2 linked regions of the Oryzias latipes genome follow. The protein of the gene in region 1 binds, or shares a complex with, the protein of each later gene. Links are inferred from orthologs where the notes say so. Each region holds a gene or a part of one and is shown on either strand. Other genes may lie near its edges.

Region 1 (4,267 bases):
CTACCACAAGGCCACTGAGCTGGTCTATTAACATTTACACATAGAATCAGGCAAGTTTAGACAGTTTGCACTCAGAACTGGAAAAGGCCATGAAAAGTGTCCTTTTCTGCTTATTTTCTTTAAGCACTATAACAATTCTTTGGGGTAATTCTTCAAGTATAAAAAAAATAAAGGAAAGGGAAAACAAAGACTTCTAACAACTGTATAACTTAATTCATTTTGCAATAGAGAATACAAGGACAGAACATTCTACTAACTTTCTACTTAGAATTTGCAGAAAGAAGCGGTTTTGGAGCGGAAATGACATCACCATAACCTCTGTCGCCCAAAGTCAGTCAAAAAGTCTGAATTGAAACTGGAAATTAAGAACTAAAAGCAAAGAGGGAAAGAAACAAAGGCTGAAAATACAAAAGGCTATGACATCGTATTAGGGGCCACAAACAAAAACAAAATAAAATAAAATAAAGGTAATATAATGAGATTTAAATTTACAACTTAAATATCATAAATGTATGACTTTCTTGTAAATTTATGAGATTTAAAGTTCAAGTGAAACCTATAGTCCAGCAAGTAAACGACATGCAAACCGACTAAACTCAATATGGTCAAACTGTCTTGGCTTTAAACAGATGAGCTGAATGTTTCTAACACAACGTTACAAACGTTCAAAGTACATATTTCTCCCAAGGTCGCTGCGCTTTTTCGTACATGATAGCGAGCAGAGGCGCGTTCTCAACAGAAAAGGGAGTTCTCATGGGCTCACCGCGGTGTTCCGGCTCTGCAGCAGAGGTTTGGTGTTCCTCAGCAGGAGTCTGTGGTCTGGATCCATCATGTACGGTTTGGCTTCGGTCGGACCCTTTTTCTCCTCCGAGTCCGAGTCATAGAAGGTTTTCTCGTTGTTCTCATCAAACACGGCATCCTGAAAGACAAATCAGGATGCACTGGTCCAGACCAACATTCTGAGGATCTCTACATTTTTTTGTGACGTTAAAAGAGTTCCTGCCATTTAGAAATATTATTTGTTTGGAATTTCTTTTTTGGCCTTGAAATCACAGATTGTGTTTATTGGATTCACAAAACAGCATTACAGCCCAAATTATTTTTTCTCTTTTTGCTTTTGAAAGTTTATAAATTTGTGCAAAAACCACATTTTTCAATTAGAAACACAGATCCTAGCTGATATGAAAGGAAACATCCAAAGCTGGAAGATGAGTCCACATTGCTGTTATCACTTGTAGGATGTACAGGGTTCCCTCGCTGTATCGCGGTTCACCTTTTGTTTTAGTCATTTTTTCGGTGGAATTTTCCATGTTTCTTTTATAAATTCATCATTTTACTGTCCGCCAAATTGTCTGTCCTTTCTATGAAATTTAAGTGTTTGTTTTCTTTGAAAACTGGGTTGTAGATCTTCTGACACATGTGGTGTATATCTGAATAAACCCCCTTTTGTAATTTAGGCTAAACTATATTTCTATTGATTATTGTTGGAGGGGGGGGGGCAGAAGGATGATTATAGGGGAGGGAGGCGGGGGAATCATGAAGCATCATAAATTATCAAGCAACAAGTTGCTGGTCAGGTGTGGATGTATAATAAATCTAAAAGGGTGAACTTTGAGGGTTCAAACAAGAGAGTAAAGTGTGAAAGGAGGGGTTTAACATCCTTAAAATATCTAACCCCAACGTAACTCCTGTGATAAACGAGGGAACACTTTAACTCTATTCTGCTGGAGGTTATTTTATAATTTAATAAACTATTTGTTTTACCACGACAAGTTTCTCAATCTGCCCTCACAAGTTTATTATTGTCATCAAAACAGTAAAAAAAATAACAACATATGCATATTCTTTAAGCTATGATGATGCCACTCTGAAAGTTTTGCAGGGTTTTAAAGATTTTTGAAGGTGGTGTTCCCTCTTTTATCGTGAGAATTCAGTTCTAAAAAAAAAAGGTCTTTTTTTTTATTTTTACAATGGTTATAGATGTGTTAAGGCTGTAAAATACCTCACTCAACGCTTTTCTCAGACAGAAATCCACATTTGCACACTTTTCTCTTGGTTAAACTCTGAAAGTTCATAGAAAAATAAGTGTTTTAAAATGAAAATAAGTGTCTGACCAAGATAAGATTTATGTAAATTTGGTAAATTCTATACACAGAGGAGATGGATTGAGAATGGCCTACAACAAATCAGGATACAGAACACAATGTATTAAAAAATTGTAAGCATAATTCCATTGAAGAAATGTTGCACAACAGCAAGAACGCAATAGATGAACCACGATACAGCAACATAAGGCACATCTGCTGGTACATCTGGGCCTCACCTCCTTCCAGGGGCTGGTGAACTGCGTTCTGGCGTAGCGCGTCAGCATGGAGATGATGACCACCTGACCCCACTCCTCCACATCCACCAGCAGGTTGCACAGCTTCCTGTAGTTCTTGTGAATCAGATCGATGCGATCGGGGCAGACCTCCTCGAAGGCCACCACAACACTGCCGGCCACAAGCTGCAAAAAAAAAACAAAAAAAAAACTTTTTTTTCTCCCCCTCTCACTTAAAAATATGAGCTAACAAACTAATAAAGAAAAAAGGTTGTGAGGTTTTGGGGCAATTTTTCCAAGCAAATTGAACAAACACCTCGTCTCTTAAACAAAGCAGAATTATAGGGACTCATGAGAAATAAAGCGCCGTTTAACAGACTCAATCCTCGTTTCAAGTTGGACGATAATTGCAATTTCGGTAAACACGATGCCAATTTAGCACTCTGCCTACAACACACACACACACACACACACACACACACACGCATCCAGTCCTCTAAGTGGTGAGTTGATAATTAGAAATAAAAACGGCTGCACTTACATTTTTAAGTTTTCTACAATCCCGTAAGTGAAAGAATTCAATCACTTAAAGAGTGTTTTACTCAGTATAAAACACTGGATTGATGAGGAAAAAACGAAGAGGAGGAAGCTGCAGCTGAGAGTCAATTATTAAACATTTTATTGGTAGGAGGGAAAAAATAAAATAAAACATTTGGCTGTCACCTACATACACACACACTGCCTGTTTCCAAGCCATCTTTCCTCAGACTGAGTGACTGGCATGTATTAATATGCAAACAGCAATATTCTTAGGCAGGCGAAGGTGAAGATGAGAAAGGGAGCAGAATCTAGTCTCCTCAATTAAAGCTTTGTGGCCACTGGAGGCCCTGTGGGAATCCAGAGCTTTTGCCTATCAGCGCCGTCATGAGCCCGCATTGATTGGGCGCACATAAGATGCTTGTGTCTCAAGATTCACTGAGAAATTTCCCTCTAGCAACTGTGGAATGATTCATTTTGTTGACCGTCAAGAACAGATGGCAACAATTGAAGATGTTACATTGGTGTTTTTTGTTTTATTTAAATCAATTCTAGATTATGACGTGCTTTAAGGAAGTGCCAACACCATCACATCCTGCATTTCCATCTAGAATTACTTCAATTTGATTTTGATGACCACACTAAGTCTTCTTCAGGACATCTAAACATTTCTGGACCATTGACTGTATAAGAAAACTGGACTTAGTGACTCCTCCCCCTGGTGTTCCAAACAGGAAGTACCTGCTGGCTCCAAGAATCTAAAATCCCACAGACTTCTATAGAGTCTGTTACTCAGCCATTCTATTGGTCAGAAGAACCATGCTTGCTCTGATTCCTTTTTAACATGTTCTTGATAATCCTCTTTTTTCCTCTTCAAGATTTTTGTTTTGGTTCAAGTTATTCCAGTTATAAATCTGATCAATAAGACGCCTCGAAAAAATTAGGTGGAGTCTGCCGGCCCCCAAATTCAAAACATTTGACAGATTTAGTGGCCTTCCAACAGCCTCCTTCCTGTTTGGCAAGAGTGGTTACCATTGAAATGATGACTCATATGGACTCCGACCAATCACTGCTTACTGACGACATCTTCCTCCAAAATGGAGGCGTCAATATCGTTAAAACATGGCGTCTGAACTGACTACATTTTGTTGGAACCTTTTTCTACAGGTGACGCCACACCCACTTGCCCCAGTTCTCAGATATAGTCAGTAGCAACAAAAGAACAGGAGGTTTTGTGAGACAATCCGCTGTTTGTTCAGTGCAAAAATGTAGCGGTTAGACACAGTGCGTCACAAATTTTTGTTTAATTTGCAGATTTGTTACTGATTAAAATGTGACACTGCTATTTTAGAATATTATTTATTCGCTTCTAATCATTAATTATCGTGAACTTTAACTTTTGATGCGATT
Region 2 (4,367 bases), on another chromosome or scaffold:
ACAGCTAAGCACATACACAGTCCACACACACAACACATAAACGAAGCCTTGATTGGCTGAGATCCTTTTCCAGGTGACCACTGTTATCATATTTCATGTATTCTTCTGTTTTCAAATGACTTACGTTAACTCAGATAGTCTAATCCCAGGATCTAAGCGTGACGATTTGGGCCTAAAACAACAACACTGATTTGTTGCCATGGTGAAAATAGACTACTTTTAAGGTGATGTCGTTCCCAAAAGCTTAAAAACGTTTGTTTTTATATTAAAATTGACAAAATAAAAAAGAAAAGCCCTGACAGAGAAATATAGAGAGGAAAACCAGACGTGGAGGTTTGTCTCTGAAACCTAACTGTTACACCAACTGTTGATTTTCTAGGCAGGAAAAACTCAAATAGCCCTAATAGTTGCTGACGACTTTAATGTCAGGAAAAAGGAGGAGTCAAACAATAAACCCTTAGAAGAATTGAACAAAAGTATGAGTCATCGGTCCAGCAGCGTTCAGATCATCTTCAGCGCAGAAGTTAGGCCCCCTATAGGCAGTAATGCGCTCCAACAGTCGGCCCTTACCTTGAGTGTTCTGGAAGTAGTGGCGCCACAGCGGCCTGATTTTGTCCTGACCGCCCACATCCCACACCGTGAAGCTGATGTTCTTGTATTCTACCGTTTCAACGTTAAAACCTGCACAAATGAGGACAGGCTTAGTGGCAGACACGGATCTGAAAGGCTCCCCAGGTTACATTAAACAGGTCATAAATTATCATTTTAATTGGATTTCAAGTTTACCACAGAGTATCTCCATTGTTAAAAGCATTAATTGTCAATATCTTTGTTCATTACAAATTCATAAACTAAATCATTCTAAATGTCATTTTTTTCAATCTTTTAAAAATGTTCTCAGATGATAAGGCTGATAAAATACATTTTTAACTAAACGTTTAAATCAACACTAAAGCTACCAAAACGTGCAGAACAGAGATATTACAAATAAGCAGAGAAAAGCCCACGTGGAGCTGAAACGTCTCCGTTTTCATACGTTTATCTGAACTCATCCAGCTGAATGTGATCTGGGCCGATCCACAGATCGAGCTGAAAGAATTCACCAGGAAGCAACAATAACAGCCGTGAATAACTAGGATCAAAGGCAGCAAAATGCATCTCCTTGTAAAAATCTTTGGCCACAATATGTTTAGATTTTGTGGAAACGAGCTGAAAGTCAGCTCTGATGGCTGACGGTGTAAATGTTTTCTATCCAGACAGCCGGAGTATTGACTTAGACACACAATGGTTAACTCAAAAACCATGAAATACAGGTAAACAGTGATGAGTTCAGTGTCAGCTTGGAGAAACTAATTGAGAAACCAGAAGATTTGTGTTATTCAAGCACAGAATACTGCAGCAAAATGCATTGTATGCAGAAACAGAGAGGTTATGAAATTGCAATGTTTTTAGCAATCCACTGCTGTTACTGCTGTTTCTGTTGAGATCAGAACAGACTTCGTTCAACGCAATTTTTAAAAAAAATCCCGACAACAATTTTGGCGTAACCTATATATCATTAATATAACATTTTGCTTTTTGGGTTTAACAATATCTCTCTCACTAAGACAGTTTCAGGATGAACAGATCCATGCAGCGTTTTGACATGAAAAACGATCCATTGCAAACAGAAATCCTACCGATGGTGGGGATGGTGGTGACGATCTCTCCAAGCTTTAGTTTATAAAGGATAGTCGTTTTTCCAGCAGCATCCAGCCCAACCATTAGAATTCTCATCTCTTTTTTGCCAAAAAGGCCCTTGAATAAGCTTGCAAATACATTCCCCATAATGACAGAGCTGGAAAACAACAAAAGTAAATAACTACAACATTTTAGTACTCGTACAGAAATAGTAGAAGAAAACCAACACATAAATGAACATCATAACAGACAATAATAGTAGGATTGAAGCAACGCTGTCGTGTTTTAGACTCAATAACAGAAATTTAGAGATATAGAGTTAAATGTTCACTTTGGCTAAACTGTTTTACATCTGCACCATCAAAATAACTATTCAGACATATAGTTTGACCTAGAGTCCTAGTCATCTGTAGGTAATCAATGACAGTACCAGAGCATCGATGACCCTAAATATAATTTGGGAGGCATTCACGGTTTAAGGTAAATCTCCAGACTGATGTGCATAACTGCTTTCCTTAACGTGGGAGTTGTGAAGGTCTACATAAACACATCAGATGTGTTTTCATTGGGATTTTTAGTGAAAATGTCATTTATCAAAGTTTTTCGGCTATTAGGATCGAAACTCAATGTGGCCAGCATCAACAAACTAAATATTTCCCCTAACTTCTATCTCGACTTGACGTGCGAGCTCCAGGACCATAAATTGCGTGTTTTAATGGAGTCCGCAGCAAACTGGACGGACGAATACTTCGGACAGCCGGCTAACCGCACAGCTAACAGATGACTGGGGCCTTGTCAGTCAGTAAACGACTGAAGAATAGTAAAAAATAAAATAGCAGTATTTTCCTTTTACGGGCAGCAGTCATATATCAAATGTAACAGTTTGTTTTAAAGGAAATCAGAAAGTTTGTGCTGTCACCACCCATTACCAACTGATGGTTAGCTTGACTATAGGGCGGATGCTTCGACTTGAGCCTAGCCTGCTGCTAACGGCTAAAGACTGGGTTTGGTCCGTGCGAAATCATTCTGTCAACAACGAACAGGCGGTACGTATCCACGAAGTTAAAGGTTGACGTATAAATAAGCCCGTTGGTGTAATATGTGTCGTGTAAAGTGAGTATCTTTTACTCGTTTTTTTCTTGTCAGTCGATCCAGAAACCACCGTAGCTAGCTAGCTAGCCGCCGTTAGCTCGATGCCGCGTCACATTACATAGAGAACAGCATGACGTCACGCAAAACCACACCAAAATTTGATCATTTAGGTCGAGTTTGAACTCACTCTCATAAAACGGCATACAGAGTAAAAAAAGTAATTGGTTCTGGTGGTTTTTACCTTTAAAAAGACAGCTTGCTGGTCTTTAGGTTATCTTTCACTGTCACTCCAAAATGGCGTCTTGCGCAACCAGGGAGACACCGGCGTCGGGCACGGCCCACTATCAAGCCTCAGCCAATCACAGCGCGTACGGTGTACCAAATGTCCCCGCCCCCGCCCAGCTCTCCGTCCAATCAGCAGAAAGATCGTCTGTGCGTCGACGATGCACAAAATGTCGAGGAAGTTAACTCAAGTTCTTCAAGTTCCACCGCCGTCAACGTGACAGGAGGACGGTTCAGCCGCTGACAGCTGAGGGAGGGATCGAACATGCGGCACTCTCCAGCAGAGTGCACGAGAAAGGCGTACAATGATCATGACAAATAAAGGATATTGTCCTCTCTTCCTTGTTGTTAGGTTGAACAACAGGCGGGTTTTCATTGTGTTCAGTGTCTTTCTTGGGTTGAATTTCCTTTGGTGTCTTTTCTACTTGGATCCATTGTTCTTTGTTTGACTCTTTTTGTCTTTTTTATACATGTCAGTGTTGGTTTGCTTTTATTTATTAACGTTTTTTTTGTTTTTTCCTACATTCTCAGGTTCACATTAGGTTCCAGAGACACCAAAAACCTAAACCATCATTTATATGAGCTCACTTGTGTGGCAATGTACAGACACTTAATAAAATACATGGAAAAGTGTTTTCATTTTTTTATAATTCCATTTTAGAACTAAGCTTTCATAGAGTATAGATTCAGGGTCCAGGTTTAATTGTTAAGTTGTTGTTTTTTTTACATAAATTGAGGTTCCAGCTCATAAAACCCTAGAAAACAGGATTTCGCAAAATCCTGATCGAGTGGAGAAATCTGCTCAAATTCTGAATATTTCTTACAGTTTCACCATCATCTACTGAACTCAAAACACCAGTACAGGTTCCCCAAATGTCTTTAAATGGGTTCAGTTTGGTTCAATGTGGGAAAGACTTGACAACTAGAAGACCACCATAAATATCCCACCAGAGGTGGTCCGCCATGAGCAAAAGTAACAGCTGGTTATTTGGCTTGCTGAAGGTGAGTGATGAGTATTTTTTTTCTTTTAGGTATCACTGCTTCTGCCCCTCACTCTCTGCTGGATCGTTGCACTGCAAGCATTCAGTCAACTCACCTGCTCTGTCCTCTGCCTGCTCGCCTACCTGTCTGCTCGCCACTCAGCCGCGCTTCCAGCTAACCTGCCCAGCCATTCTGCTCTCAGCTCCATGCTGCTATGGCCGTTTTCTGCTCCTGTTTCCCTGCATCACCGTTCTGCCCCAAGCCTCATAAGCCCCTGCACCTCTGCAATTTTGGAACCATTTCCCAGAGACCCTCCTGGAGACCAGTTTTTT

What was found. The genes of interacting proteins can lie anywhere in the genome.
Region 2: the proteins of ap3b1 (region 1) and ADP-ribosylation factor 1 are in contact, whole or in part, in a cryo-EM structure (PDB 9C5B), measured with the Homo sapiens proteins. The link is inferred for Oryzias latipes from reciprocal best matches to the Homo sapiens genes AP3B1 and ARF1. Residues at the interface, in NP_003655.3 of Homo sapiens: Glu52, Asn54, Pro81, Val84, Lys85, Val87, Ala88, Asp111, Leu112, Leu114, Leu115, Ile117, Ser118, Thr119, Gln121, Arg122; in NP_001019397.1 of Homo sapiens: Glu17, Arg19, Tyr35, Ile46, Pro47, Thr48, Ile49, Gly50, Phe51, Asn52, Val53, Glu54, Lys73, Ile74, Leu77, His80, Tyr81, Asn84.

Annotation. Positions count from the first base shown.
Region 1 is NC_019870.2:3,646,684-3,650,950, forward strand, and holds part of ap3b1 (AP-3 complex subunit beta-1), read right to left. Parts: intron 2,507-4,267; coding exon 2,324-2,506; intron 920-2,323; coding exon 764-919; intron 1-763. UniProt on the Homo sapiens protein: Subunit of non-clathrin- and clathrin-associated adaptor protein complex 3 (AP-3) that plays a role in protein sorting in the late-Golgi/trans-Golgi network (TGN) and/or endosomes.
Region 2 is NC_019877.2:22,747,770-22,752,136, forward strand, and holds the start of ADP-ribosylation factor 1, read right to left. Parts: upstream 3,146-4,367; 5' UTR 3,014-3,145; intron 1,838-3,013; 5' UTR 1,828-1,837; coding exon 1,680-1,827; intron 682-1,679; coding exon 571-681; intron 1-570. UniProt on the Homo sapiens protein: Small GTPase involved in protein trafficking between different compartments. Modulates vesicle budding and uncoating within the Golgi complex. In its GTP-bound form, triggers the recruitment of coatomer proteins to the Golgi membrane.